5 linked regions of the Xenopus tropicalis genome follow. The protein of the gene in region 5 interacts with the protein of the main gene of each other region in a pairwise test. Links are inferred from orthologs where the notes say so. Each region holds a gene or a part of one and is shown on either strand. Other genes may lie near its edges.

Region 1 (4,034 bases), about 29 Mb from region 5:
GTGACAGGAAATACAAAATGCACACATCACCAACCTTAATAAATCTGTAGCTGATTAACTTCATTGCTTACGTTATGGCCTAACTCATCACAAAATGCCACAGGGGACAAATGACAATATAAATGAGAATCATGCAATTTGAGGAGCACACTCTGCGAAAAGCCACTACTGACGATATCCTATGGCTTCACTTTATTATAATGTGGTCCCAGCACAAAGTATATAATAAATAAGAAGCCCACTACATCGAAAAAGCTTAAACGACGCAGATGTTGAATAAAAGTTTCTATTTGCTATTACAAGCCATCTGACTGCACTATAACATGTGTTTATACACGCTTGCAGTAGAGCAGCCAATACTGGCTGAGATAGACACAGAACAGGCGAAGAACAAGGGACATGGGGATAGGAAGGCGCGTATTGTCTTTCTGCTTTGTGCTACGAGATACACAACTTCTTTCCATTGGTGGAAAATCATTGTTTTGAATCCGGACGGGAAAAAAAACTTCCCGAGCAAGCGCCCCCTAGCGCCCGACACAGAGAAGGACGCATCCCAAGAAGAAGTGAGGAGAGAAGGAAGGGAGCGAGTGCCTGGGACTGCCCCTCACTGCCATCTCCTCATCCCACCGTCGATCCCGATGCGCCGAGTTCCCTCTGCAAGGTACGGAACACTGCGCACAGGCAGCAGGAGCTCATACGCGACTCCCAAGGCTCTGCAGCTGTTGTACGACTAGAACTAGCACTCTCCTCATATAGCCTGAGGCTGCGCTGGGAGTTGAGAGTTGTAGTGTCACAACAGCTGGACGGGCGAAGGTCGGAACATCCCTGCGAGCTAACGAGTGCTGCAAATTGCAATACTCAGCGGGATGTGACTGCCCATGGGCAATGCCAGCTGAATGTATACATAAAGCGGGTAAGACTTTGCAAGCGGTTTAACTCTCGCAGTGCCTAAAGGCTATGACGTTGCAGCTGAGTACACCCCTCCATTATTCTACTGGGGAGAATTGCTATGCCTATGGGCTGCTAGAGCACGGAAAGCACCGGGCTAGTGGAAGAATGACATATTGTGTGATCTAGCTGCCCCTTCAGCTCCCCTCTCCCTGTGTGACAGGGGCTGTAGATGGTGCAAAGGCTGCTGTGAATGGCTGCGCTGCGCGCATTGATTGGCGGAGGCGGGCGTGACGCGCTGGCTGGCTGCTCCCTATTTGAGCTGTAGCCTTGCCCCTGTACACGTAGAGCAGCACTGAGAGGAGGAGGAGGCGCTCTGCGATACGCTGGGCATATGCTCCGCAACACAAAAGCAGAAGCAGCTGGTGCATCCCAGAGAGGCAAATCGCAGCCCCGCATTACTCGCTAGGATGTGATTGCCCGGCGTGCCCACTGCTAGGGGCTGTGTGGGATTACCGTGCCAGCGGATAAGGAGACGTGACAGGGCTGGATACTGGGGTCTTGGGGTTTGAGAAGCATCTTGGGAGTGTAAGCGCTGGCCTTGGAGTGCCCTCCCTCGGTTGGGCGCATTATTGCCCTGTGATGGACTATCTATCGGTGCGGGACTCAGATCGCTTGGCAAGTTCTAGGAGACTGTCTCATCGGGTGGCTGATGCCCAAGCCATCGCACAGAGGACCTGCTGCTAGCCGCCCCCTTGCCCATGCCACTAGACCCAGGCTGCCTTAATGGCAGGGTCATGAAGTGTTTGACTTTCTTTCTTCTGCTTCCAGAGACCTTAAAGAAGTCTAGAAAGAGTGCCAGGGCACAGGGCAAGGTGCAAGCATGCTATGAGATAGTGCCCTTGGCCCTCAAGAAGAAGATGGCTGCAGAGCTTTACCCTGCCAGCGCAAACACCAATATCGCTAACAGTAACGCCGCTGCCAACGCCAAGAAGAACGCCCTCCAGCTCCAGCAGGCTGCCCCGCCGCCGCCGCAACTCCACAACCTCAACAACAACAACATTGAGAGCGGCAACTGGCAGTCCTTCCACCCGACCCTGCGGGAGAGGTGAGCCCACAGCGCCCCCTGTGCCCATCCGCTCCCTCTGGTACCCAGCAGCACCGTGTGGCAAAGGGCACCTGGCTGGTAGAGCCAAAGCACATTCGGCTGCCACAGTCACAGCCCTAGCGAGTAATGCGTATATTCATTTACTGCCATTACTTTGCAGCAGCCCTAGCATAAACATAGCACATACACTGATATTAGTACAAAAAAAAGAGCTAGCCCTGCACGTTTTGAAGGAAAGTGATACAAGGTGTGGGTTGCAAATAGGATATGTGATATTAGGTTGGTAGAGTTCACCTCTAAATAATTGAAGTAAACCAAGCACAGCCCCATAGAGAGACCTGAAGCAGTAGTATTAATTATAAAGCTACACTACATAGCTAAGGTTCTGTGGAGCTCATTTATCAGCCTATTCATTACATATATGGCACTATCACAAACATTACTATGGTGCTGTCAGACCCTCTAGTAACCAATCACAGCTGAATGCTTTCAGAGGATGCTGGGATAAGCAACTGAACAGATGAAGGGTTGCAGATAGGAGGTCCTGTTCTGCTGTGTAAAAGCCAATTAAATGATTAGCAGCGTTAGCTACACTACAGCATATGCATATCCGACACACAGCTAGCAATATAGAGCTGTTTTACTGCATTCAGATGCACCACGTTGCACTGATTTATCAGTCTTATGATTTGAAACCAGCAAGAACAGTGTCATACTGCACTGCCACACACACAATCCACAAGGCTAACCTGCAAGGGTGTCAGTGTCCATCTAGGAATTTCACTGACCGTAAGAAAAAGCATCAGACACACACCTAGAAAACCCCTTACAAGGTTACCAGATGGCTCCCACTACTGTTTGTAGCAGAGGACGGCATGGTGTCCCATAAGTGTTTTTTGCTCAAACGATACCATGAACAAAAACAAAAGAATTTCATTTACTGAGGGCAGGTTCAAACCAGCAAAAAGAGCAACAGATCTTAACGCATCATTTGCCGAGTTAAGGATTTCTTAATTTTGCCTTGCCTGCCAGAGATTCAATGCCAGTTTTGTATCTGCTGTTAGTTTAGAACACAAAGTGGCTATGCTTGTGAGCTGGTAGGTGAATGCAAAATATGTGCTAGCATGCCAATGGGCACCCTCATGACCGTTGGTGTTTTCTTTTTTGTTCTTTATTGAACTGTAGGACAAATTTGCTAAAGGTTAATCACTTTAATCACTGCAGTGAAATAAACCTTAGATAAGGGTAACATTACCAGTATGCATTGTGAATGGCAACAACATAGTATACCTATGCCTTAAACCAGCCAATAAGCCAGCAAAATGTAAATATTCCTTCTCATGGGGCTGTCCTGCATCACTGCAGTTCACAATACTCTTTTCAACACAAAATCAATTAGGAGCAGCTTTTTGGAACAAATGATCAGTATGTTGATTGGACAGGTTTTTTTTTTTTTTTTTTTTTTTTTTTAATCATTCTTCCCTGCTGGGTGGGAGAAAAGCACTGAGTCATGTTAACTGAGCTGGGGTAATGCTTTCCTTAACATTGTCTGAAACCAATCACATCCTGGTCAGTGGACCAAACCATTCTGAATTTGGTAGCACAATAAAAACAAAGCAATTCTGAGAAAGCATGATTGCTCAGGATTTGATTTCCACTAATCTAAAGATGCTGAGAGTTTCTATGAACCATGTGAAATCCCAGAGATTATTACTAGTAATTTAAGTGCTACAAGATTATATTGGCTAATCCTAGGAGGGGTTGTTTACACATTTCAAATCACAGGGTTATAGAATAACTTGACACTAGAATTCAGCTTTATGTATGAGCAAATTATGCTGGAATTACTATTAACAAGTATAATGTGTAATAAAACATACAGAATACATACCATTACTGTTAGGCAGTAGAGTGGGCCCTGCTCTTTAGAATTTACAATCCAAAACTACATATATAGTGTGTATATATATATATGTATCCAAAATACCAGGTAACAGCTTCAAGTGAAGCTGTTTTATTGATTTTTACTCAGCAAGCG
Region 2 (4,250 bases), on a different chromosome or scaffold from region 5:
GTGAGAGTGTGGTGTTGAGTGTGCAAGAGAGAGTGTGAGTGAGTGTGAGTGTGAGAGAGAGTGAGTGTGCGAGAGAGAATGAGTGTGTGAGAGAGAGCGTTAGTGTGTGTGAGTGTTGTGAGAGAGTGTGTGAGTGTGCGAGAGTGTGAGTGTGCAAGAGAGTGTGTGTGCGAGAGAGAGTGTGGAGTGTGGAGAGAGTGTGAGTGTGCGAGACAGAGAGAGAGTGTGAGTGTGCGAGAGTGTGAGTGAGTGTGTGTGCGAGAGAGTGTGTGAGTGTGCAAGAGAGTGTGAGAAAGAGTGTGCAAGAGAGTGTGAGTGTGCAAAAGAGTGTGCGAGAGTGTGAGAGAAAGAGAGTGTGAGAGAAAGAGAGTGTGTGAGAGAGTGTAAGTGTGTGAGAGAGTCTGTAAGTGTGTGAGCAAGTGAGAGTGTGAGAGACAGAGAGCATGTGTGTGACAGAGTGAGAGAGTGTGAGAAAGAGAGTGTGCGAGAGTGTAAGTGTGAGAGAGTGTGCGAGAGACAGAGAGCATGTGTGTGAGTGAAAGAGAGTGTGTGAGAGACAGTGTGTGACAGAGAGAGAGACGGTGCAAGAGTGTGAGTGAGTGTAAGTGTGTGTGAGAGAAAGAGTGTTCGAGAGTGTGTAAGAGACAGAGAGTGTGAGTGTGCGAGAGAGACAGTGTGTGTGAGAGAGAGACGGTGCGAGAGTGCGAGAGAGTAATAAGACAGCGGTGCTGCCCCTCTGACAAGCTGGAGACTTTCTGCTTTCCCATGATGTGAGCCTTCCTCCTCCTCCTCCTCCTCCTCCTCCCCAGCCCCATAGAGAGTGCACTTCCCTGTGCTGCCCCTCCTGCCTCCCTCCTGCCTCCCTTCTGCCCTCCCCTTCCTTCTTTCCCCACTTTCTAAAGTGCACTTGTCTCTTTGTGCTCATGTTGTTGGTCTCCTAGCTGCACCCTGTCACCCTGACTCCCCCCCCCCCAAACCCAATCACCCCCAGCTCAGGGGCACTTTCTGCCTGTTACCCCCCCCCCCATGACTTTTTCTCTCTCCCAAATTTTATTTTTTGCTGACATTTATTGCTGCAACGTCAGCAGGCAGGCCCCGCCCCTGTGCATGTCATTAGGGCCCCCCCCTGAGGGTGCCTGTGAGTGAGCTCCTTTCCATGCCAATAATCCTGGATCCAGACTCCCCTCCTCCTCTTCCTCTCCAGCTGTCAATCACAGGCGCCTTTGAACTGAAAAGCTTCCCAGTCCGACTTGCTCCGACTCAATTGGGGCGAGTGCAGCTCAGTACCGGGCTCTCTGTGTGTCTCAGCCCGGCTTGGGGCCCGGAGTAGTTTGGGGGGGCTGCAGTCGGACTGAGCCGCGGATTTGGGGGCCGCGCATTTTGCTCTTTTTCTCTCTTTATTTTTGGCTTCTTGTTGTTGTTGAATCTGGCGGAGTGCGGAGCCGGGAGGTGGGGGCCCCGCTAACCGGACTGGCACAGCCCCCCCTTTCCCTCCCAGCCCCCCCACCGGCAGCACAAAGCAGGGGAACAGCCCGGGGCCCCCTCTCCCCCCCACATTGCAGGAGCCGGGAGCGGCCAGGGGAGGAAGGGAAACTTTTTTTGTCGGAGGGGGGAATCTTGGGGCTGAGTCTGGGAGTTGCAGTGCGACAGAGTAGCAGGGGCAGAGATGCCGCAGTTGAACGGCGGTGGGGGGGACGATCTGGGGGCCAACGATGAAATGATCTCCTTTAAGGATGAGGGGGAACAGGAGGAGAAAATCTCCGAGATCAGCTCGGCCGAGCGGGACCTGGCGGATGTCAAGTCGTCTCTTGTCAATGAGTCTGAGACCCCCCAGAACAGCTCGTCCGACTCTGAGGTAAGGGGGGGCAACATGTGGGGGCACATGGGGGGGGCAGATAGTGGGGGCAGATAGTGGGGGCATGGGGCACATGGTGGGGGCAGATAGTGGGGGCATGGGGCACATGGCGGGGGCAGATAGTGGGGGCATGGGGCACATGGCGGGTAAGGGGCACAGAGGGCAAGAGGTTGGGGGAACAAACAGGGAAGCGCATTGGGGCACAGAGGGCAATTGATTGTTGGCAGAGGCAGTGTGGGGGGCAGAAAGGGCACAGAGGGCAATTGATTGTTGGCAGGGGCAGTGTGGGGGGCAGAAAGGGCACAGAGGGCAGAGGGTCGGGGGACACAGGGGCAAAGAGTCTCAAAGTGAGGGGGGCAAGTAATAAAGGGGGGCACAGAGGAGAAGCCTCGGTGAGATATCGGGGGCACAGTACCAGCCTGGGGGTAAATGGAGTGGGTGTTTGGGGTAAGTAAATATTTGGGAAGAAGGGGGTAATAGTTGGGGCATAACGGGTACGGGGTGTTGCCCCTGGCAGGGGGGAATTACAGGTAAGTGCCAGGGGGTAAGTGACCTTCTGCCCCAATACTGGCATTTGCAGGAAACTTGCCCTTTGCCGGGAGTAGTGCCCAGAGATGCCCTAGTGTGGGGCAGTACGGGCAGAACTATATACTGGGGCAGGAGTGAGGGCACAAGCACCCCAGCAGGGGCAGATTGATGGGGCAGGTTTACACGCCCGGGGGTAACTGTTTCTTTCCCCCGTATCAGGCGGAGCGGCGCCCCCCTCCCCGGTCCGAGAGTTTCCGGGACAAGAGCCGGGACAGCCTGGAGGACGGTGAGTTCCGAGTGCGGAGATTGGCCGATACTGGGCCGATATCGGGCCGGGCCCGGGCATTGTTTATTGCTTTATAATAAAACTTTACTCTCTTTCCCCCCCATGTAGCTGCCAAAAGGCCCGACGGAGGGCTGTTTAAGGGCCCGGCATATGGAGGTTACCCCTTCATCATGATCCCCGACCTGACCAGCCCCTACTTGCCCAACGGATCTCTCTCTCCCACTGCCCGAACGGTAAGTGGCTCCTCAGGGGAGGGTCCCAGGTAGCAGCCCCGCCCACTGCCCTCTCTGTGCCTGATCAACTTTGATTATATTGCTGCACCCCCATACTGCTTAATTATTACTCATTAGTACCCCCCCCCCCCACTTTGGCCTTGTACTAACACCCTTGGCCTTTGCCTGTCCCACTAATAGTATTCTCTCATTAGTACTCATTAGCCTTTACTATACTGATACTATCTATTCTCTCATTAGTACTCATTAGCCTTTACTATACTGATACTATCTATTCTCTCATTAGTACTCGTTAGCCTTTACTATACTGATACTATCTATTCTCTCATTAGTACTCGTTAGCCCTTACTATACTGATACTATCTATTCTCTCATTAGTACTCATTAGCCTTTACTATACTGATACTATCTATTCTCTCATTAGTACTCGTTAGCCTTTACTATACTGATACTATCTATTCTCTCATTAGTACTCGTTAGCCCTTACTATACTGATACTATCTATTCTCTCATTAGTACTCGTTAGCCTTTACTATACTGATACTATCTATTCTCTCATTAGTACTCGTTAGCCTTTACTATACTGATACTATCTATTCTCTCTTTGTTATATATTATTACACCCTCCCTACACTTTCTCTAATAATATTAATACTCTCTCCTGTTACTCTGCTTTTATTTCACACTTTGCCTCGTTACTTGTTATATTCCAATTTAATACTCTGTTTTTATTAATTATTAAATATTCCAATATTATATCCTCGCTGCCCCCTGTGTATTAATACTCCCTATAATTACCCTTTCTGTTATTGGTAAAGATACTCTCTCTCTTCAATACCTTGTCTGCTATTTTATTATTATTATTATTACTATTAATACTTTCCCTGTTTTTGCATTAATACTCGGTGTCTTTTCTGATTGTACAAATACTATTTATTAAATACATTCTCTCTCTCAATAAATTCTTACCTCTTTCTGTTATTCCTCTGACACTCACCTTCCTTTTTATTCCTATTAATTCTCTGCTTTTTATTTGAAATGTTTTCCCCATTATTTACCCCCCCACGCTACTGTTACTCCCACATTATCTCTTCCCTTAAGAGAGAAAAATTAATTTTTTTCACATTGATCTCCAACTTGTGGCTGTTCGGCTGAGGTTGTACTACAACTCCCAGCATCCCTTACAGCCTAAGGGCAGTGGGTTGGGGGGGGGGTCACCAGAGTATAAGGATTATTTTTCTTGCCTTTCACCCCCCTGTTTCTTTGGTTTGACCCCGGTGTTTCCCACGTGTATATCTCTATATCTCGCTGTATAGTAATATTGTGTTGCTGTGTGTAGCTGCAGTGT
Region 3 (4,252 bases), on a different chromosome or scaffold from region 5:
CCGGCCCAAGGAAAGCCTCCCATAGGGCTCAATGGCACTCTGCAGCTCCAACCCGGCCCAAGGAAAGTCTCCCATAGGGCTCAATGGCACTCTGCAGCTCCAACCCGGCCCAAGGAAAGTCTCCCATAGGGCTCAATGGCACTCTGCAGCTCCAACCCGGCCCAAGGAATGTCTCCCATAGGGCTCAATGGCACTCTGCAGCTCCAACCCGGCCCAAGGAATGTCTCCCATAGGGCTCAATGGCACTCTGCAGCTCCAACCTGGCCCAAGGAAAGTCTCCCATAGGGCTCAATGGCACTCTGCAGCTCCAACCCGGCCCAAGGAAAGTCTCCCATAGGGCTCAATGGCACTCTGCAGCTCCAACCCGGCCCAAGGAAAGTCTCCCATAGGGCTCAATGGCACTCTGCAGCTCCAACCCGGCCCAAGGAAAGTCTCCCATAGGGCTCAATGGCACTCTGCAGCTCCAACCTGGCCCAAGGAAAGTCTCCCATAGGGCTCAATGGCACTCTGCAGCTCCAACCTGGCCCAAGGAAAGTCTCCCATAGGGCTCAATGGCACTCTGCAGTTTGGGAACCTATTATTTGGCTTAATTTCAAGGGAATGTTCACCTTTGCATTTAGTTTTAGTATATAGACCTGTTTATGATAAAAATAACTAGCTAAAACCAAATACCAACTAATGACCCTTATCACCAATGTGCTAGTGACTACCTGCAGTATTGCCAATGGGTCAGGCTGATACTGCTGAGGGCACTGGAAGCAATTTCTTTCAAATAGTCTACAAATGCATTTGTTTATTAACAAAAAAAACTTTCCAATATATAGATTATATTTTACATTATAAATATTGGAAAGTTTATGTTTTTTAATAAACATTCATACATTTCTGGGAAGCCTTTACTTTACCCTAAAGTATTTTATATCTATCTGTTTAATTCAGAGTATTAGCAACCAAAACAGTAGAGATGTGATGCACTTTACAGGTTTCTGCTTTCATGGAATCTTATGACTGGAGAGGACACATTGGACAATAACATAGGCATGGAGTCGTGTGCACAGATTTGTCAGCTCACTTTATACTGATAAGGCTTATATTGAGTCCAGTTCTTCCTCGGAGGATATATGTGTGATTTCTGTCATATAACCCAGGCTAATAAAATATTTTTTCAAGAATAGTATTGTGACTCCAGTACCGCTCGGCCGAAACTCGAACTACTAAAATTAAGCTAGCTCAACATACAAAGACTCCATTTTATTACGCAATGTTTTACGTTTTAAACAAACTCACCAATCAGCCAAGCGAACGAACTGACGGGCGGAGCCCTCTGCCAGTGAGTGGGCCAAGATTTATAGAAACTGGCCAATGGGAGTACGGGGATGGGAGGGGGCGGATCAGTTTCGCGAAGAAAGGCACAATCTGCTCTTGTTGAGGGGTAGAAAAAAACGCGCGAAGGACGCCGGGGCGGTGCCGTGTGTGGGCGGGGCTTGTGCTTCTCTATATAAAAGGCAAAGGGGCCGAAGCGCATGTCGCAGTTCTCTCGTACAAAGCCGGTGGCGTGGCTTTGAGTTTCTTTTTTAGATTCGTGAGAGAGACTGACAAACATGGCTGAAGCGAGCACCTGCAACATGGAGGTAACTAGCCGAGAGAAGAGCTATGGGGAGTGGGTGGGCTGTGCGCTATAGCCGAGCGCTTTGTGAGGCCACTGCGGCCTTTTAACTCTTTAACACTCTACGCTCTCAATGGCGGCGAACTAGCACATCGCCCCATGGCCGCCCCGTTAAATGGCTGGAATTTGCTCACTTAGGGCTTAAACGCCGCAGGGCCTGGGTCTCTGTTGAGCGGTTCTGCAGAACCCCTAGGGTGCCGGGGAGGCGATAATGCTGTAGTACAGCAGTGACTCGTCCTTTTTAAAGGGATGTGGTATAATGGCGGCTAGGAGCCTCGCACACGGGCGTCCACTGCGGGGAATTTCACGCGTGGGGAGATATCGTGACGTAAGTAGCGCGTCCGTGCTGAGAAGCCAGCGGCCACGTGTTCCCCAGGCGATGCCCCGCCCCTAGCCCCGCCCACATGCCGGTAGCACAAAGCCGGGCCTGGCTGGAGCCGGAACACGTGTGTCCCACGCCGCGCTCTTCCCACTGCCCACGGCTCGCCATTCTTCCTGCCGGCTTGTATCGAGCAGTCTCTCAGTAATGGGGTGGGCCATGGCCGCATGCTAACGGCTCCCCTTGTCTCTTGTGAGACATGAGATTCTAGTGTCCCGCCATTCCTCCTGCTCAGTGGGGGGGGGGGGTCGATCCTAAACCAACTTCATTTATTTTATTCGACACAACCATGTGTTAGATCGCTTTTTGTAGATTCTCTGGGACTGTGCTAGAGGGTTGATGGGTAAAGGGCTATAGAGGGTTTGTTCACCTGAGTTACTCAGAATGAGGTAGAGTGTAATCTGAGAATTTGCAATTGGTCTCTTTTGTTGGGTCTTTTAACTTCAATTTGTTCAACATTCCAGTTTGGAATTCCAGCTGCTATTGGGTTGGTAGGGTTCTACTAGCCTTAGCAACCAGGGAGTGGTTGGAACAAAGGGCAGGGATATGAATTGTAGGTCTGAATAGTACGATAATCAGTGAAAAGTAATACAATTGTGGCCATATAGAGCAAAGATTCTTGGGATCTGAGACCCACATCTGAAAGCTGGACCGGTTAGAAGGCAAATTTAGAAACTATATATAAAGCCCCATTGAATACATGTATGTAGCTCTGGACTGGGTTTTAAAATAGGTTTTGGTATTTAAAGTACAGTAGCCCACTGAATAGTTACGGTTTATGGTATTTTAAAGCGGCTCCTCTGGAATTGCCAGATTGGTTGTGTTACATACATATGCACAGATACCCAGATACAAGACCTCCGGCTGAGTGCAATTATTAAAGGTCCTGGAACTCCATATTCTGATCTATTTTATGGTGGTGCTTTTATATTGAATGCTAATTTTGGTAAGATTTGGCAGACTATTTACTTTCCTAGATTTACTTAAATTTTCATTTTGAAGGTGTTAAGATGTGTGGGGCTGAAACTGTTCTACATATTTGATTGTATAAGCCTTACAAGTTGCATCTGTAGACTTGCTGTAAACTAAGGGGCTTGACCTAAGCTCTGATGGCCATTGGCTTACTGATGGTGATTAGCAGTAGTGATTCTGTAACCTTTGACCTGTTAACTTTAAAGGGGGCATTGGCTAAATGAAGAAAAAACTGATTTTGTAGGCAATTATGAATATTTGGGGCTGGCTTTACTTTTATTGGAGCTCCCTATAGATCCTCAGGTTCCTGTCAGTGCTTCAAATGAGGGGTAGGCGTGTCCTTAAGATCCCTGCCAGAAGTACAGTAATGGGGAAATAGGCAATCACAGTCCGGCAGTCACACAAGCAAAGGCTTCAGTTCCCTATCAGGTCAGCCAACCTGATGGGAAACCGATTGGTTCCTATCCTACAGTGCAGTGTACAGAGTGCTGCCAGCCCCCCTTCACATCTAGTGAAACAGATGGGCAGGACTATTAGGGTTTTGGGGGAATCTTTCAATCAGTCCAAGACACAACTTTTTTTTTAGCACAATCCTTCTGTATTTCATAATTTTCACATGTTTCCTTTAAAGCTGTCTGAAATTAGATGCTTGGCTGTTGCTGGCTTGACCTGTGGCTAGCTTAAAAACAAGTTACATTGTGAACTTTTCCATGTTACTTTTTTCTAGAACTTTGTAGCCAAGTTGGCCAATGGAATGAGCCTGCGGACTCCAATAGAAGATGTAAATATCCTTTAAATTTTTGGCTAGTTGTGTTTTGGCCAACTTGGCTTTAGAGTTCATGTAACAAATGCCATTTCACTACATGGTACTGTGGTGCAGTGGTGTTACAGCCTGATTAAAGAAGTAAAGGTAAAAATCCCAACTTGCATGCACAGGCTGGTGCCCAGGAAGCTTGTTTCTGAGCACCCTGCCGCCATGCTTTTCTGCCCAAGTGCACATGTGTAGTACAGTATATCTTGGACTCGCTGTGCTGCTCATGGGATGCACCATAAATAGGATAAAAATGTTGGGGCTATACTCCTGTATTCATGATTACTGGACTCGGGCACCAGCTTCATGAGTAGAATTACTGGTGGTCACACCTCCTAGTGATTTTTACCTTTACGTCTCTTTTTAAAAGTGACTTATACCTATACTTTTTTCAGGGTGCTGAATAAAGTTTCAGACCAGTTGT
Region 4 (4,234 bases), on a different chromosome or scaffold from region 5:
AGATCATAAATGAAGAGGCTTTACATCTAGCAGGTGGGTGAGTTTTTAAAGTGTCATGTACTGAAATAGACTTTGACCTTCAAACTGTCAGTTAAGCAGCCAAGCAGGGCTGAGCTGGACTGGCACTAAAAAGCAGCTCTGGCCGGCAAAGCACCCAGCCCATGCCTGCCTGTGCTGAAAGTGAGATTATAGCGGTAAAGAATTGCTGCTAGAATGAACATATGTATTCCACTAGCTATATTAGCTAGAATTATTCTTCATACATGCAAATAAAAACTAACAAGCTACAAGCATTTGATCAACACACTACACACTCTTATATCACAAGATCCACACATGATTAGACACAAAAATCCCAATGGCCTATTTATACAGAGAATCCGGTTACCCCAAATCATATTGCAAGTGGATAATGTATGTGCCTTTCACAGTCAGAAATGTTATAGAAAAAAAAAAAGTTAATTTTAGTTTTTTTAGGCAAAATGAAGGCATGTGGTTATCCTTCACGAGAGAAAACACAGTACAGTAAGCCAAAGTAGGAGTGTTTGCCCAACACACCTATGAATAATGAACGTATACCTTACCTGTGTTCGAGCCTCCTCCAGACTAGTGTCAGGGCACAGCACCACATCTCTGCTGCACAGAACCGGATCCTTTCCACTTAGACCTGCAATCGTTACCTTTATCTGGTAAATGGAAAAATGGCAACTGTAAATAAACTTTTCTTAACAAAACATGCAACATTCGACCTGCTCTCATGAATTGCATGCAACTGTGTGCATTGACACAAGGGATCCATGGGATTAAGAGAGCCTTGACCTGCCAGTAGCTCCAGGTTTCCATTAGTGGTTTGTGCCCACAGATTCAATTGACTTACACCAAGTATATCAGACAGGAAAGCCACTATTGATGGCATGTGAATTTGAAGACCTGGAAGTGATGCCAACTGTACATAGTAACTTAGGTGCAGTTTACCAAAACACATACTATTTTCCATCAATATTTAGTATATAAGTTGAATCAGACACTATTACGAAGTGTTGTTCTGATAAAAAGACTTCCTCAGGGGCACAAAGGAAGTCTGTACACTATAGGCTTATATGGACTTTGCTGTTGAGATGTTGATACTGCTGCTATTTATTTACGTGCAATATATTTAAATTAAAAAATTATACCATTGATATTATCCTATGGGAGCACGCTCCTCTCTTTTTCTTTTGATACTATTATGTGCCCACAATAATACAGGAATTCTGAATATTGTGGAGTCTGTACACAAATGCAGTAAATGGCACTGATCTCTAAATTGTCAACACATCAAAAAATGTGAAGAATGCCTACTCTACAGCTCACCTTACAGCCAATCAGCTGCAATGTTAATAAACAACACACTGCAATTTGTGTCTAAAATTTGCCCAATGGACTGACTTCTTGAGCATATGATTGCTGGAGGCAATGTCCACGAGCTTGTAGTTATTTTAGAAGGTAGTGCTGCCAGGGTTTCTGCCATTTGCATCCCTTTGTGCCCGGGTCATAGTAAATTACCCCTTTTTGAAAGTTGAAAGTTTTTCTGGACAGGGTCTTCTTTAAGTATTGTATAGGTTGTTGGTTGTAATTGTATATTTTCTTGTTTATTTAATGGATATACCCATTTGTTGTACAACACTGTGGAATATGTTGGTATTTTATTAATAGGTGATAATAAAAACACCACAGGTCACAAAGTTACATTACACACAAGTTGCACAGTGGTTTGTTACCACTAGAGGTCTCTGTAATCATTCCTTTTTACCTAAACTGCAGTTACCAGTACCCAAAGGGCAGGTCATTGCAACAGAAGAGATATATTGCCCTCCTCTGGATCAACTAACAGACAGGATTTAGGCATAAAAGGATGAACTTGATGGATGTGTGTCTTTTTTTCAACCTATGTTACTCTGTACATATATTCTCTTATTTTGCATTCCATGAAAGGTCTAGATTTTAAATCTTTACACTTAGTGTTAAATCACATACAGACATTCCAGGTAACAGGGTAATGTTAACAAACCTTTCAGAGAAAGGGTAACTGATCCTGCTTTGTTTTGTGGGAGAGACTCTGGTCTCTATATCTTCTATATTGCGTGCCAGCAGGTTAATCACATACAGTGGCAGGAGAAGCTGGCAGGACAAGTGCAGTCATTAAATCCAGACAAACTAAGTATCTTAAAGCCCATGTATGGGGCCAAAAGGAAGGCATGCCCACTGACTGAGACCCAGCACTGACTGCCAAGGTGCCTCCCAGTAGGACAGCACAGGTCCCAATTATGAGCTGATTTTGGCACTGGGGCCAAGCAATCCCTGCAGCAGATTTCGCCTAACAACTGAGTGGGCAAATGAGGCAAAGAATCAAACGTGCTTAATTCCCAGCTCAGGCCACAGACAGCAAGGGCTGGATTTCTCCAGGCAGACATAGGCAGTGTGACTGTTCAGCAGCAGTGCTTAGCCACTGATAGAGGGACCTGTTGCACAGTCACTAACTAATGGCAACCTGCGGCGGCTACTGAACTAGAACTTCCTGATGTTAGAAATCCGTATCCAGCCAATAGTTACAGTGCCAGCGCACCACACCTTCAGAGCTCAGTGTAACCACCCCTCCATGCCCAGCAAGCTGCACAGCCATACGGTCTCGCAAGCAGCTAGCAGCCATGTATTACTCACTCCTGCCCTTCTCATCACATCAGCGGGAATGACTGTCTCCATCTCCTCGGCCCCCTTGGCCAAAATCAATAGAGCCCTCTTGCCAGCCATACTCTCTTTCTCCGCTAGCTCACAAACTCCGCCTCCAGGGCCAGAGCGCACCAATATCTCACGTACAGCCCCACCCCCTGCATCAACTGACGGAAAGCCTCTTGTGTCAAACTCTGCTTAATTCAATTAAATGCGCAACGGGGGCTCTAACTGTACATTGTATTTTTTCCGGCTTCATAGCTTGAACTTTCACATTGCGGTTACAGTGGTGCTCGACAGGTTTCAAGCTTTGCTGGAATGCTGGGAGTCGTAGTCCCGACACACCATTTCCTGCCTCAGCGCGTCCCACAGGCACAGCTCGGTCACATGACCCATGGCGTCACCTTCTGTCTGTTCTGTGAGTGTGAGAGAAAGGGAATAATAGCGGCGACTGCAGGCGCATCTTGTTCCTGACCCAGAAGGCAATTCCATGCTATTGTGCGCTATCTGTGGGAGTAGGCTGAGAGAGAGACTGGCTATCTGACGGTAGGGACCCGGCCTCACTCACCCACGTTTAACGCACACATTCCCGGTACTAATATCATTCCTGTCATTGTGTGAGTAGCTTTATAATATGAGAGGCGCTTGTACCCACTCACACACCCACTTAGCTCAAGCCCTGCCGCCATCTGGGCCCCCAGTCCTAATGGGATCTCTAAGGGAAAGACATGTTGATACTACATACATTGTATTAACATGAGCCTTTGACACCTTAGGGAGGTTGGAGAGTTTTAGTTTAACAAGTTTTCCACTCAGTATTGCATTAAGGGACCTAGCTTCTCTGCATTCTCAGGGGCCCTTTGGTCTGTAAAGTCTATGCAGACCCATTGGGACTGGGCCCACATCACTTTATTGGTAAAGTCTTTGATTGACAGGATAGGCATTCAGGCAATAGTCCAGACTCCCCAACTGAGTTTGGGCATGTTTACTCTGCATGAGAAAATTGAGTTTGCTTGACAAGTGCTACTATGGTAAAATAAGTTGCTGTGTAGCCATGGGAGCAACAATCCAAGTTCTCATGGGGCTATAGGACACACCTTTACATAGCAGATAACTGATAAGCTGTATATGATACAGTGGGCATTCATGGCTCTCTATAGGGCTATAGAATGAACCTTATAATAGAACGCGCTGGATGAACTCATACAAACGTTAGGTGTACAGAATACATTTTTATGTAATTTAAACAGAAGTTTTGCTTTTAGGATAATCTAGGAAAGCAAATCTGTGCTTTTCGTAATTGTATCACAATACATTACTGATCGACAAGTGAACAGGTGAGCAAGAAACCAATGGGTTAACAGTGCTAATTGTAAAAGAGGCACCATTGTTTTAGGTACTGTATTAATAGATGTTTTCAGGTCAGGCTGCTCTGTAGCAAAGATGGGAGTGCCTTTTTACTTTGTATTTCTATTGGCTTTTTGCTAAAGGACCCCTCTCATAAAACTCCCTAGGCTTTCGGACT
Region 5 (3,500 bases):
TCATTTATTGCATTCTCCATTGTTCTTCATTACTTGTTTTTGCCTGTGTAAATTTCCTGTAGAACTTTCCATTGTGTGGGGCCTCTATAGGACTCATAAATTTGTAATGTTATGTTTATTGGGCTTCAAACTGTTCATAAGAGCCCTGGCATTTATATTTGAGTTGTTGTATCTTAGTCATTTGACAGAGAGAAGCTTTGTAGTTATGTAGTAGCTGTCTTTTTGGGACCAACTTACCGTTTTACTGTTTTTTAACCATACCTTAAAAGTAGACAGTGTTAAATGTAGTGAGGATATGTTTAAGTTTACTTGGACAGAGGTCTGGGCCTGAACAAAGGTTTACACGAGAAAGTTATAGTTCTTATTTAGCTATGCTTGTTTTTGTAGCTGAAAGTTGTTATATAAGTTGTTTACATCTAAAAGTATACTGAGTCACTCATCTCCAAGCTCGACGAACAAGTCAGTCACCAACATCTCATCACGTGTTGTCTGGAACATTGTATCACCAAAGACCGTACAGAGTGATTGTGCGTCAAAGGACATGATATAATAAGAACACTGGACAATGATTGGTTAACATATTGGACTTGGGAAGGAAAGAATTGGACTGGGGGGGGGGGGGGGGGCTGTTACATTATTTGTGGCTTATTTTTATAGTCAGTAATGTAAGTTTGGAAGGCTTATGTACATAGTATTGTACACCAGTGTATTAAACATGTCTTCTCATGAATTCAGAGTACTGATGGCATTTTAAAGAAGATTACCCCCCCAAAAATAAATTACAATTTGTAAATGCACATCTCATTTTATTTATTTTTTACAGGTCTATGGCTTATGCCATGTTGTCTCCGCCAAAACTTTTTCCTTAAGGTCCTGTTCGCTATAAAATGGCTCTTGTGGATGATGTTATAATACTAGATGATGATACAGATACTACAAATGTCGTTCCAAATGATTCAACTTGCGAGCGGCTTTCACCAGAAATTAATGGAAAGAAAGGAAGAGAAAGCAAGAGGAAGTCAGGCTCGATGAGTGCAGAGAATACCGCGTTATTTGAAAAGGTAGGGTTTTTCAAGTCACTATCTCTGTTTCCTGTGTTTTGCTTTCCCTTTCTGTAGCCTTTTTTTTCCCTCTTTCTTCAACTCCAGCCCATGGTTGATCAACTTATATCCTTTCTCTCTGCTGTTCCCAATCATTCTTGTTTTTGGGTATGTAATAGAATGACCAATTCTCCGAATGTTTTGCCTTTTCCGTCTGACTCTTTATAGCTTTCAGATGGGGGGGGGGGGGTTATTAATATTCCAATCTCCTATTCAAACCACTGCCTGGTTGGTAGAGTAAATTGCTGAAATTCTAAAATGGAGAGCAGTTTAAATAAAAAATCAAGACTGACTGACTGCAAGTTGTCTCAGATTATTACTCTCTAAATTATAAAATTAAAAGCGAATTCAAAGATGAATAAAACCTTTAATTAAAATTTTGTTCTTTTTTCACATTAATCCTTACACACAATCACCTCTAAACTTTTCAGTTTGTAGATTACTGCACCAGGCTCACCCAAGAACACCCTGAAGTTATTGTTTTTCTCAGAGGTCGTCTTTCCAAGGCCAGCCCTTCTTTCTTGTCCTCTGTTGAGTTTCATAACATATTGGGTCGCTGTCTCACAAGGGTGCAAAGTAAGCACACAAAAGTCTACGTTTATATCAATGAACTTTGTACTGCACTAAAGGCCAATACAACCAAGCGCAAGATTATCTTAAAGTCACCTGCTCATCATACAACATCCATAGAACATATAGAGGGAGGCAGCACAATAGAAGAAGAAGAAACAAAGGAAGAAGAGGAGAGTACATCAAAGAAAGCTGGTTCCAAAGCTCAAATTCGGTATCTTGAAAACCTGCTTCAGACATTTTCAAGGGAGATTCAAAAACTGCAGGAGAAAGAGTTAAGCCTTGACGAACTGGAAGATGAGGACTCTTCATACATACAGGAATCCCGTCTTAAAAGAAAACTACTTTGCATCTTCCACAAACTCTGTCAGTTGAAGGGTTGCCCCAGCCTTACTGGTCGAGTAATAGAGCAGAAGATTAAATATTGTGGCACGCGTTACCCAGAAGTTAATCGCAGGTTGCAAAAGTTCATAAATGAAACTAGTGATGGCTTCCCAGACTATGGTGATGTACTTCGAGTGATACAAAAGGCCAATGAGAAGCACAGTCTTGGTTTGGTGCGCAGACAAATGGAAGGGATGGCCCAGGATGCATTTCGTGAGCTAGGAAATCGACTGCAGGAAAGAAGGCATCTCGATCTGGTATATAACTTTGGATGCCACCTCACTGATGCCTATAAGCCAGGTAAATGCGCAAAAGATGAAAATGCTATTCCTCTTGGTCATGTGTTCTTCTGTCTAGGTGTGATTGAAAAAAACTTGCACAATGGATTAAAAATGTATGCAGGCTCCTAAATTATAACAGCATTCACATTTACACTTTGTGTTAAAAAGGTAAAAATGAACACTTGATTCTGGTTTTTAGGAATAGTGATATCTTTTGACTGAGAAGTGGTTGATGTTCATACACCCTTGATTTTTTCCTTTTTACTTAGTCTTTGTTTAGCCTATCCCTTTATGTTTTACCCCCTTTTTCTTTTTCCGGTTCCCTTGTGTGAAATCTGTAATTTAGCTTTTTTTCTTTTGATCATTCTTTCCTCCTTCCCACCCCTCCATGACTATCCAATGGTTTTTACTTTTTCCTGTGGAATGGGTATCAGACTCAATAAAAGATAAAGCATAACATTAGCTTCACTCCTATGTGGCATCTTCAGGTTATTAAAATTTAACATTTATTAGTCCATAAATAAAGGGTGCTCATCATTCCAGTACCTTAGACCCACCAATGAATGAACAAAACACGTGTGTGTATTGGATCAGCTTGTGTATATGTAGAGAGTGCTGCTGCAGGAATTGAAAGTCAGTGGAGAATGAGAGATGGGTAAACAAAAAAAAACAACGTGCCAAGCATTGGTGCTTTCTATTATGTGGATTTGTTAGATGTTTCAGTTCCTGGAGTAGTGCTTTTCCAATGGTCATGCAGATTTGGATTTGTCCAGACTAAACTGAATCTGGATTGTTAATTTCATATGACTTTAAAGCATATTGGTGGATGAGGGGAGATTTATTTACGTAAATTCAGACTTGGTTTAGTATTCAGGTGAATTGTTTGTGGATAATATTTGGCCTTATATAGTAATCATGATGGATTCATCAATAAGCGACTGAAGTTTGTCACATGGCTGAAGGCAATTGGGAAACTAAATGGCTAGCCTCATGTCAAATTTAAAATCAGATATTAAAAAAATGTGTTTGCTGTTTTTGGAAAACAGACTCCTTACAGAATTCTGCTGGAGAAGCTCTACTAACTGGCGTGTTTTGTAAAATTACATGTTTTTTTGTGATTCAAGGATTTTTTGGATTTGGCTTGGAACTGATTGAGTCTGTTGAT

The links. The genes of interacting proteins can lie anywhere in the genome.
Region 1: the proteins of daxx (region 5) and btbd6 interact in a two-hybrid assay, tested with the Homo sapiens proteins (2 studies listed by BioGRID and IntAct). The link is inferred for Xenopus tropicalis from reciprocal best matches to the Homo sapiens genes DAXX and BTBD6.
Region 2: the proteins of daxx (region 5) and tcf7l2 interact in binary tests that used the Homo sapiens proteins (3 or more experiments, as listed by UniProt). The link is inferred for Xenopus tropicalis from reciprocal best matches to the Homo sapiens genes DAXX and TCF7L2.
Region 3: the proteins of daxx (region 5) and prmt1 interact in a two-hybrid assay, tested with the Homo sapiens proteins (2 studies listed by BioGRID and IntAct). The link is inferred for Xenopus tropicalis from reciprocal best matches to the Homo sapiens genes DAXX and PRMT1.
Region 4: the proteins of daxx (region 5) and park7 interact in binary tests that used the Homo sapiens proteins (3 or more experiments, as listed by UniProt). The link is inferred for Xenopus tropicalis from reciprocal best matches to the Homo sapiens genes DAXX and PARK7.

The regions. Positions count from the first base shown.
Region 1 is NC_030684.2:100,782,627-100,786,660, forward strand, and holds the start of btbd6 (BTB/POZ domain-containing protein 6), read left to right. Parts: upstream 1-1,234; 5' UTR 1,235-1,649; coding exon 1,650-1,996; intron 1,997-4,034. UniProt on the Homo sapiens protein: Adapter protein for the cul3 E3 ubiquitin-protein ligase complex. Involved in late neuronal development and muscle formation.
Region 2 is NC_030683.2:3,317,414-3,321,663, reverse strand, and holds the start of tcf7l2 (transcription factor 7-like 2), read left to right. Parts: upstream 1-1,450; 5' UTR 1,451-1,666; coding exon 1,667-1,855; intron 1,856-2,602; coding exon 2,603-2,669; intron 2,670-2,777; coding exon 2,778-2,902; intron 2,903-4,250. UniProt on the Homo sapiens protein: Participates in the Wnt signaling pathway and modulates MYC expression by binding to its promoter in a sequence-specific manner. Acts as a repressor in the absence of CTNNB1, and as activator in its presence.
Region 3 is NC_030683.2:111,004,572-111,008,823, forward strand, and holds the start of prmt1 (protein arginine N-methyltransferase 1), read left to right. Parts: upstream 1-1,452; 5' UTR 1,453-1,601; coding exon 1,602-1,631; intron 1,632-3,744; coding exon of another isoform or gene 3,745-3,798; intron 3,799-4,252. UniProt on the Homo sapiens protein: Arginine methyltransferase that methylates (mono and asymmetric dimethylation) the guanidino nitrogens of arginyl residues present in proteins such as ESR1, histone H2, H3 and H4, FMR1, ILF3, HNRNPA1, HNRNPD, NFATC2IP, SUPT5H, TAF15, EWS, HABP4, SERBP1, RBM15, FOXO1, CHTOP, MAP3K5/ASK1, MICU1 and NPRL2.
Region 4 is NC_030683.2:96,565,201-96,569,434, forward strand, and holds the start of park7 (protein deglycase DJ-1), read right to left. Parts: upstream 2,801-4,234; 5' UTR 2,791-2,800; coding exon 2,701-2,790; intron 687-2,700; coding exon 585-686; intron 1-584. UniProt on the Homo sapiens protein: Multifunctional protein with controversial molecular function which plays an important role in cell protection against oxidative stress and cell death acting as oxidative stress sensor and redox-sensitive chaperone and protease.
Region 5 is NC_030684.2:72,198,652-72,202,151, reverse strand, and holds part of daxx (death domain-associated protein 6), read left to right. Parts: intron 1-823; 5' UTR 824-887; coding exon 888-1,061; intron 1,062-1,531; coding exon 1,532-2,354; intron 2,355-3,500. UniProt on the Homo sapiens protein: Transcription corepressor known to repress transcriptional potential of several sumoylated transcription factors. Down-regulates basal and activated transcription.